Drosophila melanogaster: one gene and its partner. The protein of the gene in region 1 binds, or shares a complex with, the protein of each later gene. Each region holds a gene or a part of one and is shown on either strand. Other genes may lie near its edges. A codon is read from its position in the direction of its gene.

What was found.
Region 2: the proteins of Tl (region 1) and spz are in contact, whole or in part, in a crystal structure (PDB 4BV4), measured with the Drosophila melanogaster proteins. Residues at the interface, in NP_524518.1 of Drosophila melanogaster: Gln44, Ile48, Met49, Glu51, Glu53, Glu61, Arg66, Thr68, Tyr74, Gln76, Met78, Arg101, Gln103, Arg105, Arg106, Glu133, Arg154, Arg156, Glu180, Arg182, Ser206, Trp229, Ser230, His253, Asp254, Asn275, Ser277, Ala278, Met301, Asn302; in NP_524526.1 of Drosophila melanogaster: Val221 (codon at 1,740), Gly222 (codon at 1,737), Gly223 (codon at 1,734), Ser224 (codon at 1,731), Asp225 (codon at 1,728), Arg227 (codon at 1,722), Arg231 (codon at 1,710), Ser232 (codon at 1,707), Ile233 (codon at 1,704), Arg234 (codon at 1,701), Lys235 (codon at 1,698), Leu236 (codon at 1,695), Tyr238 (codon at 1,689), Gln263 (codon at 1,614), Glu268 (codon at 1,599), Asp275 (codon at 1,511), Phe276 (codon at 1,508), Ala278 (codon at 1,502), Asn279 (codon at 1,499), Phe280 (codon at 1,496), Pro281 (codon at 1,493), Gln282 (codon at 1,490).

The regions. Positions count from the first base shown.
Region 1 is NT_033777.3:26,797,015-26,802,093, reverse strand, and holds the start of Tl (toll), read right to left. Parts: upstream 3,054-5,079; 5' UTR 2,614-3,053; intron 1-2,613. UniProt on the Drosophila melanogaster protein: Receptor for the cleaved activated form of spz, spaetzle C-106. Binding to spaetzle C-106 activates the Toll signaling pathway and induces expression of the antifungal peptide drosomycin.
Region 2 is NT_033777.3:27,064,502-27,071,858, forward strand, and holds spz (spatzle), read right to left. Parts: upstream 5,570-7,357; 5' UTR 4,709-5,569; coding exon 4,643-4,708; intron 2,995-4,642; coding exon of another isoform or gene 2,857-2,994; intron 2,699-2,856; coding exon 2,621-2,698; intron 2,384-2,620; coding exon 2,107-2,383; intron 1,980-2,106; coding exon 1,598-1,979; intron 1,531-1,597; coding exon 1,353-1,530; 3' UTR 1,302-1,352; exon of another isoform or gene 1,188-1,301; coding exon of another isoform or gene 1,059-1,187; exon of another isoform or gene 935-1,058; intron 822-934; 3' UTR 587-821; downstream 1-586. Other genes in the region: CG43935 (uncharacterized protein), read left to right, coding at 1,059-1,187. UniProt on the Drosophila melanogaster protein: The activated form, spaetzle C-106, acts as a ligand for the Toll receptor. Binding to Toll activates the Toll signaling pathway and induces expression of the antifungal peptide drosomycin.

The DNA of each region.
Region 1 (5,079 bases):
CACGCAGGTAGGGCCAAAAAAAAAAAAAAATAGTAAGAACATAAAGGGAACTGGGACGGGGACAAACAATGGAGAGATAACCCAAAGATAGACAGAAAGTGGAAAATTAATGAGATTTTTCGTTTGTGCAGCTGATGAAGGCATTAGGGTGAAAGCAAGTGCAACGACTTCATTTCCCTCCACCGAGAGAATGTCGCAGTGGGGAACTTATGGTTATTCCTCCCTTCACGATTTTATGGTCAGCTGAAGCAATAAAATTGAAATTAATTAATTGAATGCAAGGCAATAAGCCCTGTGACTGGTCAGGCAGTTCTATCTCAGTTCAATCTGATTGGAGAGTAAAAAACCTCACACGTTGAAATCACACGAAAAGAAATGAGTTGTTAAAAAAAAACAGGTGATAACAATACGGTAAGTATGATATTACGCTATATAATATAAACTTGTACTATATTAAAACGTGTTTATATTAGTCATTATAGTCATCATATAAGAATGTAGTATGTAATTACATATCACTTTAATAACAGATCTTATAGATACAATCTTCAGATCTTCAGTCTTGTTTTTTTTTTGCGTGTATTTGTCTCCCATTTACGTCACGGATCTGGTTTGACTTTGGGTTAAACCGCCCGCTGATCTGAGATCGGGAGAGTAAGACATATGGTGGTTCGATCGTAACGCTCTTTTCAGCTTAGGAGGCTGACTCATCACGCTGAGCGGACCACAAGTCATAGAAACGCTGAAAGCCGACGTGCTAATTATCAACACAAGTCGCCAATAACTAAGAGTGAAATAGCAGAAAGCTAAAAAACACTTGGCAGATGTAAAAACCAAAGCGGAGTCAGCTTTGAATATTGTTTTTCTGCCTTTTCGCTTATCAACCGAGTGGACAAACGCCCTCAATAATGAGAGGGGGAAAAATAAAGCTAACAACTAAAAAAGCGAGTACAATGAATCTTAAATGAGTCTCTCATTGTGCAGAAATATTTATAACAAACGTGTTTGTATGACAATTCATTTTGGGCAACTTTTACCGCCTGCAGTTGGACTAGTGGCGGTTTGGCCATAACAATAACGGAGCCACAATTACAGCTACTTTCTAACGTGGCCAAGACGAAAGACCCAAGCGGAGCATCTTGAACGTTTGCAGTTTGCCGTTTTCCACTTCATTTTTTTCGTTCACTTCTTTTTTTTTTGGCAGAAGTTAAGTAGACTGTTAAATGACTTCCGCAGTTTTACCTTCACAGACGAAGACTAGCATTTTTTTTTTTCAGTTTGCCGCCATTGTTATAGCCGCTTTGAAAGCTTCTTTGCCTTTGATGTGGGCCAAAGAAGAAAAATCTTAACCTAAATCCAGAGTACAGTTATTCGGAAAACCCTCAGGCGAAAGAAGCTCAATGGCAGGATGTTAACTATCGGAAAAAAATACAATCAAAATTTATATATATTGTATAATTATTGTTAAAACAGCATTGTTCTTGAATTCAAGACCTGCTGCTTCTGAGCGATAATCGTTGAACTTTTGGGGTTGAATCTTGGGGTTTTCCGAATTTTTCATATAAATGTAGCTAGTGGTCAAGGGCTATCAACTAAGAAGAGATTTATGGTGTTGGAAAACCCAAGAAGAATCGAAATGAATTAAAAACAAAAGTCTAAGTTTATCATAAGGTCATACGATTTTTACCATAATTGGTACAAGCGAGAAGATTCTTGTCCCTTCCTTCTTCTCTTATTTTGTTTTGCTGTTTCTAATCAGCAACTTATTAGCTTTTAAAGCACAAGTGGGCATTTTCTGGTTTGTTAGAAGTACTTTTGAAACCTGCATTACCCAGGTATTTCCACCTTCAATACGAATAAAAGTCCCCGCAATGAAAACCTGTTGAACGAAGCTCTCTTTGGTAGTAAATAAACTTTTGTTGTGTCTGTTTGTTTTTTCGATTCCAAACTGGTTTTTGGCCAAAAATTCAAAGTGTTAATATGCTGGCTCGTGAGCTTTGGGCCAAATGCGTGTGGCTTTGTTTTCTTTTTTGTTTCGTTCATGGGTTGGCCAAAACGCAAAGCACACCCCAAGGCCGAAGAGCACTTGCTGCTGCACTGCAGCATTTTGCACATTTCCCTGGAAAGTGCCGAGAAAAACCACGGAAATTGTGGACAACAAGAGTGTGACACACACAAGCACTGGGGAAAATTGTGCAACGGTTACAACTGCTGAAACTGTTATTCATCGCCAATTTGCACAGGAAAAAATACGGTTTTACGCAGAGTACTAGTAGTAGTAGTAGTAGTAGTAGTAGTATTAATAGATCAATTTAAAGATGTTTACAAATATTTTACAGCTCATTTTATGTACTTTAAATTGATTTTATCTGACTGTGATCAAAACTGGAACAAAATGTCAACCAATTGCCCGATGAGCCATCAATTTGGTAAATTTTTTTCTGTGCAATTATAGGCGAATTGGACTGATCAGAGAGTGGGACAGAGATAGCTGAGCTTAGCGCGAGCCAAGCGAAGCTTAGCACAAAGCAAAATCGAATGGGAGATAACGAGACAGAGCGAGATGGCACGGTTCAAAGTGTAATAACTGAACAAGGAGACGTAAATACTTACCGTTTTAATACGTGTTTTATTAAATGTGAGGTTAGCTACTCCGCTGCGATCTCTTGTGCAAATATTAATATTTATTTGGCTTTTCTTAAGCTGCCACGAACAAACACGCACTGGCACTGTTGTTTAGCTTCTCTGTTCGCGCTTGTTCGCACTTTGAAGCCGCGATTTTTTGCGATTTTATTTTTGGTTAAATGCTTGCTACACTTTCACACATTTGCATTTAATTGCGCCTTGTGTTTCTTGTTTTTATGGATTTTGTGCTGCGTAGCGTTGCTCTTAACTTGGCTTATTCGGTTGCCAAATCGCTGGCCACAAAACGAGACAAACAAAAGCGGCCCACAACACACGAACGCGGGACTCTGGCTGGGAAAATCAAAAATCCAACTGCTACAAGCGCGACAAGCGTGCGTTCACGTCGGCGATTCGGAACAAACTGAACTCGACTCGAAAAGAAAGAAGAACTGAGAGATGAAGAGCTGGTAGTGCGCTTAGTGTGGAGGGAAAGACGAGAGAGTGGCTGAGTCGGCGGCAAGATACCCTTTGCTCAATATAGAAAACATTATTTACTTAAATTTGTAATCAGCCTATTAATATATTTTATTTTAAATTTTAATAATTTTGTCACAGTCTTTATATGTTTTATATCATTTTGTTTGCTTTTGGTTCCTTAAGCTCCAGTTTGTTAAGACATTTTAAATTATTATTATATTTTTTATATTCTACTTTTAATAACATCCTATCTTGCTACTTTTTTAACCTTAAATAACGTGTGAAGTTATTTCTATAAAGCTGTTTGGGTTTTATATATAATCAGCTTATTATAAATAAATATGAGTTGGATAAAAATGCTAGTCTCGAAATTTTTTTATATTTTTGACGTACTGATAAGAATTTTTAGAACAACAGTTCTTGTAGCAATAACACAATGTGATAATATGAGGAATCGAGCTTTCAGTTGATTTATGTTAGTTGACTAGGATTTTTATAAAAAATAAAATTCTTTCCCTAACTTCTGAGTGGCAAACGATATAATAAGTCGAGCAATTTCTTCTACCCCACAAATACCGTTCGAAGGTACAGATGCGTGGGAGAAAAAGAGAGAGACACACGAATTATCTTCGTGTCTGTGGTCGTTGCACTATAAACAAATCGCATGCGATAAAAGTCATGCGAGAGAGGAAAACAGTTGAAATACAGGTACTTCGTATAAGAGTATAAGAGAAAGTGGTAGAGCAAGAGAGCCTTCTACTGTTTTGTTTTCATTTTTGGGGGAAAAGCCGGCAGTTGTTGTTGGCCAGTAGTTCTCAGTTCTTGTTAGCCAAGTTTAACCGGTTAACTTCAAAGTCTAAGCATCTCAGGCAGCATACGTAATAACAGTGATTATGGATTTATTAGTTGATTAGTCTCTCTCTCTGAGTAAAATGTAAAATGTAATTGCCAGCACGTAGCAGACTGCTTGCTGTTGTTGTTGTGTGCCAATTAAAACCACACTTCCACAACATCTACCCTCTCGCTCTGCCGCTTGCGACTCAAATGAAGTGGAAGTGCGTTCTGCTAATGCGGAACAAGGATGGGACATAGCTCCCGGGGGAGCAGCGTGTGAAGTGCGACAGGGACGGGGAATGGGAAATGCAAATGGAAATCGTATCCCTCTGCAACTGTGTTTTCTGTAATTATGCACGGCGTATGGAAAATTAGGACATGCTTATGAATAATCTTTGAATTCATGTACAATTTTCATAGCAATCTTGTGTTGATTCCATTTCCCAATTGGTAATTATCTAAAGTCTTTGAAATTTAAATAAATTTGTTGAAATATTACAACAACAATTTTAATGTTTACTACTAGGCTTACACCACAATTTTCAAGGATTTAAGATGTTTTCTTTCCAAGCAAATAACTTTACGTCAAATCAAACAAAGCAACGCAAATCTGGATAAGCTTAATAGGCAACATAATGGCTACTTCTCCCCGCAAAGATGCATTAATATACACATTTGCCACACTGCCCGTGTTTTTCATTTCAAATACCTAGGATTTACTGTAAATTTCAAAGATATTACCGAAATATGCGCATGTAATTCTGACCGAAAGGAAATTCCAGTAATTTCCCATTCAATGTACCCACATGGGAAAACCCAGCGCACAGGACACACATCGGGAGATTTATTCCTCATTTGCCTTGTTTTATGTTAGCTGCAAAATTTCACTTTGAATTGTGCCGAAAATTTAATTTGATTTCATTTTCATCAGTGGAGAAGCACATAAATAGTGCAACAAATGAAATTTGTACGTGCCACAGATGCTGGAGGAACCAAAGGCAGGCCCACATGTGTTTCAGGTCCAGATTTGTGACCATTTGTGCGTGGTTGGCCACGACACGCAGAGCCATAAATTTCGGATTCTCAATAAACTAATGGCAATTGGTATCCGAAAGATACATTCTATATACATATACCCCAACA
Region 2 (7,357 bases), 270 kb from region 1:
TGATATGGACGCGGCTGTGTGTGGCTGTTGGGGATGTGCATGATTGATGACCCTGGCCAATGCCCAATCGACCAGGGCACGACACTGGATTTGGCCAAACGGGAAGGATACCTAATAATAGTAATTAAATTGTGGCACTTTGCCCGCCCACAACGAATCCACAAGCATTCGCATTGTTCGGCCTAACTTTGACATAGTTTATTGTGTCTGGGAATCGATAAATACTATTGATTTCCACATGTGCCAGCGCCAGCACCTCAAGACACATCGCGCATACGCCCCGCTGACAGTTGGAAAAATCCAGCGCCAGGAAGCCGAAGTCGATGCATGTTATCCTTTTGCCGGTGAAAGCCAACCACCACCCCTTTGGGGGAATGTGTTTACACTCACTAGGGTGTAATTGGTTTGCGCAGCGGGGCGAACCGAATTATTGTTAATAAGCAAATAAATTGTCCACCAGGTACTCGCTGATGGGTTCAAAGAACTTTACTTTGCTGGCATGTACTTGCATACATTTATTATACATTATCTTTTTTTAACATACATTTTTCAAATCGTTATTTCTATCTTTCTTGTTTTTTTTTTTGTGTTTTGTGTTTTGTTTTGTTTTTATTCTAGGACTAATTACTTGCATTTCTAGCTTAGGCATTAGACGTGGAAGTCAAAAATGAATATATGACACGAATATGGTTAAAATGACTCGACTTAAAGCTCTAAATTAATATGCACATTGGTCTATGTGTGGATTCAGCAGATTATAGAATAAATCAATGACCACTGATCAGTTTGGCCTGCCATTCTGTGGTGGGTGAAACTTCTTGCTGCAAAGAGAAGAGATACAATTTATATTTTTGGTCTAGTTAACAAGGAAATAATGTCAATGAAGCTGTATACATATTTAGAGTTGTAGTCTCAGTCTGAAAAGTTTGACTCTTCGAATCACAAGAAACATTATTCTTGAATTTAAGTACAATACTTGATAAAGCACAGTTCGAAAATCCGCATTCGAACATATTTTCAAGACTTCTGAATTGCAGACATTATACTATCTCATTCCGATGGATCGCGTCGTTGGCAATTTCGAGAACAAGTTTAAGCATTTGGTGAAGGCTGAAAGCAAGGGAATGGCCCTAAAGCTGGTGGGATTCTACGCCGTCGGCTGGACCCTGCGCAAGTTGGTCAAGTGAAGCGTTCGCCTTAAGTCGCAAGGATTCATTGAAATCCTCTACTTCTTGGTAGTCAGTCGTTTCTGTTCTGTACCTATTTTTAAAATTTAATGTACGAATAAATCGTGGCCTCACCTCAATATCACATTGTCGCAGCCATCGACTGGAGAATCCCATTTTCCAGAATCACCCAGTCTTCAACGCGCACTTGCAGCAGGAAGGGATCTTGAAGGAATTCTGCACCACGTCCAGTTCGCCATCACTTTTGATGCTGGCCAGGGTCTGCTGTGTGTAGTGCTGCTTGCAGATTGGATTATAGCTCTGCGGAAAGTTGGCGGCGAAGTCACAGGGTTGATCCGCTCCTCTGGAAGGGAAGGTTTGGCAATTAGCAAGGCTAATGGAATATATCATAGATTCAAGCTATAACTTACTCGCACTCTTCGATCTGGATGGCCTGTTTGTACTCATCGTTATTGACAATTAACTGCCAGGTGTCGTCCGCCCTCAAGCCCTTTTTTGGGTACACCAGCTTCCTGATGCTCCTGCAAAGGAATCGCTCGTCTGAGCCACCAACGCGAGAGCTCACATCCGTGGGCTGAAGATCGTTGCTAAAGAACTTGGCAAAGTTGTTTTTTAGCTTATGTGTGAGGCCTGAAAGGTCCGGATAGTCGTCCACATTCGTGCAGAAGTTTCTAAGGTGTTGGCTTTCATCCTTGGCGCAGGGATTGTGCTCTTTAGTGTCATTCCTCAAAGGACGAGCTGGGGATTGTGGTGGCCGATACTTGGCTATGGGGGAATCGGGGAAGACAAAGGCTAAAATTAGGCAAGCGCCAAAGGCAGTTGGCCAGTGAGTATGGGATCGATTTAGTAGTTAGTTGTAAGGCATGTTTGGGTATCGAATGTAACTGAGCATATATAGGCTAAAATACTTAGTACTTACTATCCGATGGATGTCGGGGGGGTATCGGCTGTTCGGATTGCACCTCCGTGTCCGTCCTCTGCAAAGATACGAACGTATCGTTAAAGACCAGATTCAGCTTTCCATTCGGGGAGCGCTGCACTTTGAAGTACTGATCTGGTTGGATCAGGCTGTGATACTGATGGTAATGGCGGTTCGTTTCGGGTATCGGAGATTGATTCTGATTCTGTTTCTGTTTCTGGGTCGGATCGTCGTGCTGGGTGGGTATGGGCATGAAGGGTGCACTGTCCGCGGACGTCTGTACGGGTAAAATTTACTCGTGTTAGTCTTTAGCCAATTGGCAAAAAAAGGAAGCACAAAGACAACACACAACCCAATAAGAAACCAAATGAGCAGTGAAATGGGGATGCAATATAGGATGAAGAGTAGTTATAAGAAAGCAGCGCACCAATTCGTCCTTGAAGCTATGAATTGCGTTTCACATCAAAGACACATTTTACAGAGAAATCATGCATTTGCCTATGTATACACTTACATTAAAGAGGACAACTCCCTCATCATTGGTTATTGTAAAAAGCTCTTTGATGATACGTTCATACTCCTTGGCCTCGTACTGTAGCAAAAATGGCGAAATAAAAAGACAAGACAATAGACTTTAGTCTCGGTTCAGAAGTTTTGACCACACCACAGACAAATTAAGGCTATTAAGGTGTTAAGCATAACGATACAACTGGGTCTGTTTCGGGACACTCGGGGACACTGTGCTCACACCTGTAAGTGATTAGATGCTGACTTTCCGGGTCCGCCATTGTTAATGGTAGCCAAAAGGGCCTTATAGTCTGCCACTGTTTTCTCTGCCCTCACCTCGGCCTCGTGTCGCTTCGTTAATTCGATATTGATATAAACTATCTGAAAGATACAGGTGAGAGTTTTGTTTGCAGTTCATCAACATTGCCAAGACAACGGAGTATATATTCGTGGGTCGGTGCTCGGGCTCGTTTGTTTGTCAACCCAGACTTCTCTCTCTCTCTCTCTCTATTGTCGGGCACTACATTTGCGTATTCAAAAGGTTTGAACAGCTGTTTTTCGGGCAAGCGCAGTTTTCTCTCGCAATTCTATAGTTCCGTTGAGTTAGGACCCGAACCTATATACATATAACAACAGCCAGAGTCCAAAATCAGAGTTGATAATCCCCTCGAGAGTTGCCTCTAGCTTAGCAACTTGAAAACGGATGTCCCTCTTCCGCAAGCAATAAAGACTGAATAATTGGAAAATCTAAAGGCAAGCCGATCCTGAATAAAAATCAACATAATCCAACCGGAAGGTTATTTATATAAAAGAACAAGCCAATAGTTGCTTTTAATGTATTGATAATCCGAGGACCATAATTATGCAAATAGCTTGGCGATTTTAGAATTATCAGCACTTTTAGTGCTACTCTTTAAAATATTTCTATGTTATATATATATGTATATGCAGTGATATAAATAAGCCTTGATAATAGCCCCTAATCTCGTCAAGACTTTTTATTATGCTTAAATTCTTGAATAGAGTCCATGGAATCGTCAACAGAATTTACCCAAATTAAAATTGGGTCTCGACGAGCATGTAGAAAACCCGCTTTAAGGTGCCAACCCATCTGAACTTGATTGTCTGAGAACTTTTGCGATTTCTCGGAAATGTTTTTTCCCAATCAATTAGCAATCAACCTTTTTTTAAACGCGTTCATCAGTGTTTGGCGTAGACGCAACTAAGGCAAACATTGGATCGTTTTTCCATCACAGTTTTAGGTTTTCCGTGAACCTATTGGAATTTAGCTAGAACTGAAAACGATCTTTAGAACCGGTCCGCTGCGGAATTCGCGGAAAACCGGAAAGACAAAAGTTCTCGGGCGCTTTTCAAACGGATTTTCTAACATTCGACGCCATTAATACGAACTAATTGCTTTTCTCACAGAGATGATCATACAATTTGTCCGGCAGTAAATTACTTCCAAAGTCGTGTGCAGAATGTCTGGCATTGTTTGTGTCAATTAATATTATTGTAATGCCTATGATGTGCATTTATCATATAGAGAATGAAAATTGCACATAACCTGCCGCTGGCAATGCGAACAGGTTTTCTAGTCTGTGACTAAATTTAAACTTGAAACTGCCCTTCGGCTAATGGAACTGCTAGAACAACTATGGAAAATCTAAAATAAATCTTAATAGCTAAAAAGCCCATAGCCCGAAATATATTGCAATGAAATGACAGTTATGTTAAGCATAGATTAACACGGAACAGAAAAAAACAGAAATGCAGTCGAACTTTCATAACTGGAACAAGCGAGCACCTGTTTCAAATAAACAAAAAATCAAGTTCTGGAGTCTTAAGATCTTAAGTGCTTGTCTTAAGAAGACAAGGAGACTTTAACCTTTTATCAGATTAGATAGATTTGGAATAAATTATTGTTTCGACGCAAAGATCTTTAAATTTTAAAACTTTAACTTCTTTTGAAAGTTTCCCTTATGGAGGTTCGACTGTTTTGAAATTTGTAAAATTGTAAATTTCTCACCGTGGCAAAGAAGGCGAACAGCAGCAGCAGGACTTTGAACAGCGATATCCACATGGGCGTCATCATGCTCGATCTCGGGCTTAATCAATTGGATTTATAAATATATATAGATTCTGCGGACGGCGAACGTCTGCGTCGGGGATTAGTAATAGTATATAGCAGGTGATTGGCGGATCGGTGGCGTCTTATACCAATTTTCTTATTTCTACAACTTTGTTATTATAGCGCCGGCTGCTGTTGTTTTTTAGTGATCTGTGCGTTTTTTTCTTTTTATGGGCTTTGCGTATATAAAAAATAAACAAACTGGCACGACTAAATGTTAATGCCGGGCCTTTATACTGGTAGCTGGTGTTACTGTTGCCTCTTATTTATTTATAAATATTTTGTGCGGTGGCTCTGTGTGATATGTTGGCTATTCCGTTTTGTTTGTTTCCTTTGCACGTTTGCGAGACACACAGACAGACACTTCAATTAGTCGGTTTGCTTTTCACTTTAGTTTCGCTCTCGCCGCTTTAGTGGAACCGTTTTCGGATCGGTTCGATTTGGTTGCTCTGATGAAATGCCGCGATATTGATATCGTTTATAACCGATTTGGCTTGCAACTGGGCAATGGGCTATCCAAGTAGCTGATCGCAGGATATGTGAGTCTTCAACTTTTCGGCTCTGTGCGCCGTCTTTGAGTGACACGAAAAGCTCGAGATGAATGCGCTTTTATGGACCTCAAGCCCGATACCATCTGCCACCGATCTTAAGTGTTTATAGCGACGCGCGCTGGGATTTTCCGGTCAGATCGAGAGTTTCACCATATCTCCCGGGCATGCAGAGTGTTAAGCATTAACCAAGTTCGATTTCGACTGCGATTTCGATTTGGATTTCTCGCGATCGAGAACACACGACAGCGAGAGCGCACGTCTGGGAGGCAACTGAAAATGAAAAGTGGAGCCCAGAGGCCGCCGACTCGACTCGTCTGCTCCCCCAAACAATTGCTCAGTGCTTAAGTGCAGCTTTAAGCTAGCTTGCGAGAGTGTGAGCGGGAGCGGGCGCTGTGCGCGAGCGAGACGCCGCCGGTCAGAGGCGGTGGAAGCGGGATGGGTAGTGAGCGCGAGGGTCGTGCGAGGGAGCGGGACGTCTGGGCGAGCGGACCGCGATTTTATCACAGCTGACTCCGAGCAGTGCTACTAATTGCGCCTGCTTCACGAAAAACTTTACCAGTCGGAATTATCTGAATCATATTACACTTGGAGAAAAGTAAGTGCACATCAAACTAACACTATAATGACTAACGTTTTTAATTACATCTGTTGTTAAACCAAATACAAATCACTGGAGCTTTAAGAAGAATATCAAACCCTCAATTGTACTATTTTAACACATAAGTTAAAAACATACTTTCAAAAACTAATTCCATACAAACATTTTATTCATTCTAATCAGCATAGTTGCCATAAAGCTTTGCATAAAATGTACATATCGTTTGAGTGGCATTTGACACCAAAAATTAACTTCGTTATCGCAAAATTTTTTAAAACAAATATTACGAAAAAGTTAGAGCAGCCACAGAGTAATGTTTGGATGCCTCGAAGTCAGAGCTTTGTTATCTGCGGAAGTCAATCAAAGCTGCATTTTGGATGATTAAGTTTCCGTTTGAAATAATGAATACTGTACTTAATAAACACTTATGTACAAATTTGCCCTTTTCGTCGACCCATTTTAGTAATTAACTATTATCTGTCCGCTTGTTATTGAACATACGCGATTAGAGATTTATTGCTTTTTTATTAGGTATACTTAAAGAAGCAGCGATTGAATTATCACTTTTATTTAAATCCAGAAAGAAAACAAGTTTATAGGTAGCCCGAAAATATAGAAATTTCCCCGAGCTGAAAATAACCAAACTTTGTGGCAAGTGGGTGGTTGATTACCACCTTCTCTATCGGGCTAAACCCATGTTAGCCAAGTGTAGGGCTTCTCACAGTCGGTCAAGTTGACCTGTGAGAAGGTGCCGGCCAGCACTTGTTGCTGCTGAAAGTAAAAGTGGTGCCGGGCCAAAGCTCGGCATCAAAGCTCGCGGAGCACAACTGCTCTGCTCTCGGCACCACCACCAATGAAACTATCCCCACGTTGGAGCCCATCTAATATTTCTAACACATTTGATATTCCGAACGGGTGCCGCAAACGCCAGTTCCGTTGGCGCACGCGTCATGGGAGCCGCAGATCCGAATCGCTTAAATTAGCCCGCCAGTCGCCGCCTTGGAGCGTGCTGAGGCGCTTGGGAAAGATGGTGACTCAATTGGTATTTCCGAGAACGGCGGACAAAAAACCGCATCTTTAAGTCGCACACTGCAAGTAATCGCCATGTAAACGGCATCTGACGCAGTCGTGCCTGAATGGATCTACCTTGTGTGCTTATGTTTATGGCCCAAAGTGGATGTCGTTCGCCATGGAAAAACGGGAACTTCTTAGCAGAATGCATTTTACTTGGCCATATCTACTCATAGCATAGCCTTTCCCCCGAATTATGCACCAATGACTGAGTTGAGGCCATTTCGTAGAAACATCAGCTGCACTGTTGATTCATAAGAATTTCTTTATCAATTAGTACGTAATAAAATGCAATGAAGGGGGGCTGTGTAAGTAGATAACTAAATTGCATGATGATGCAATTTTGTATTATTGTAATGCCCATACATATCTGTTCTAAACAATCTAAAATTC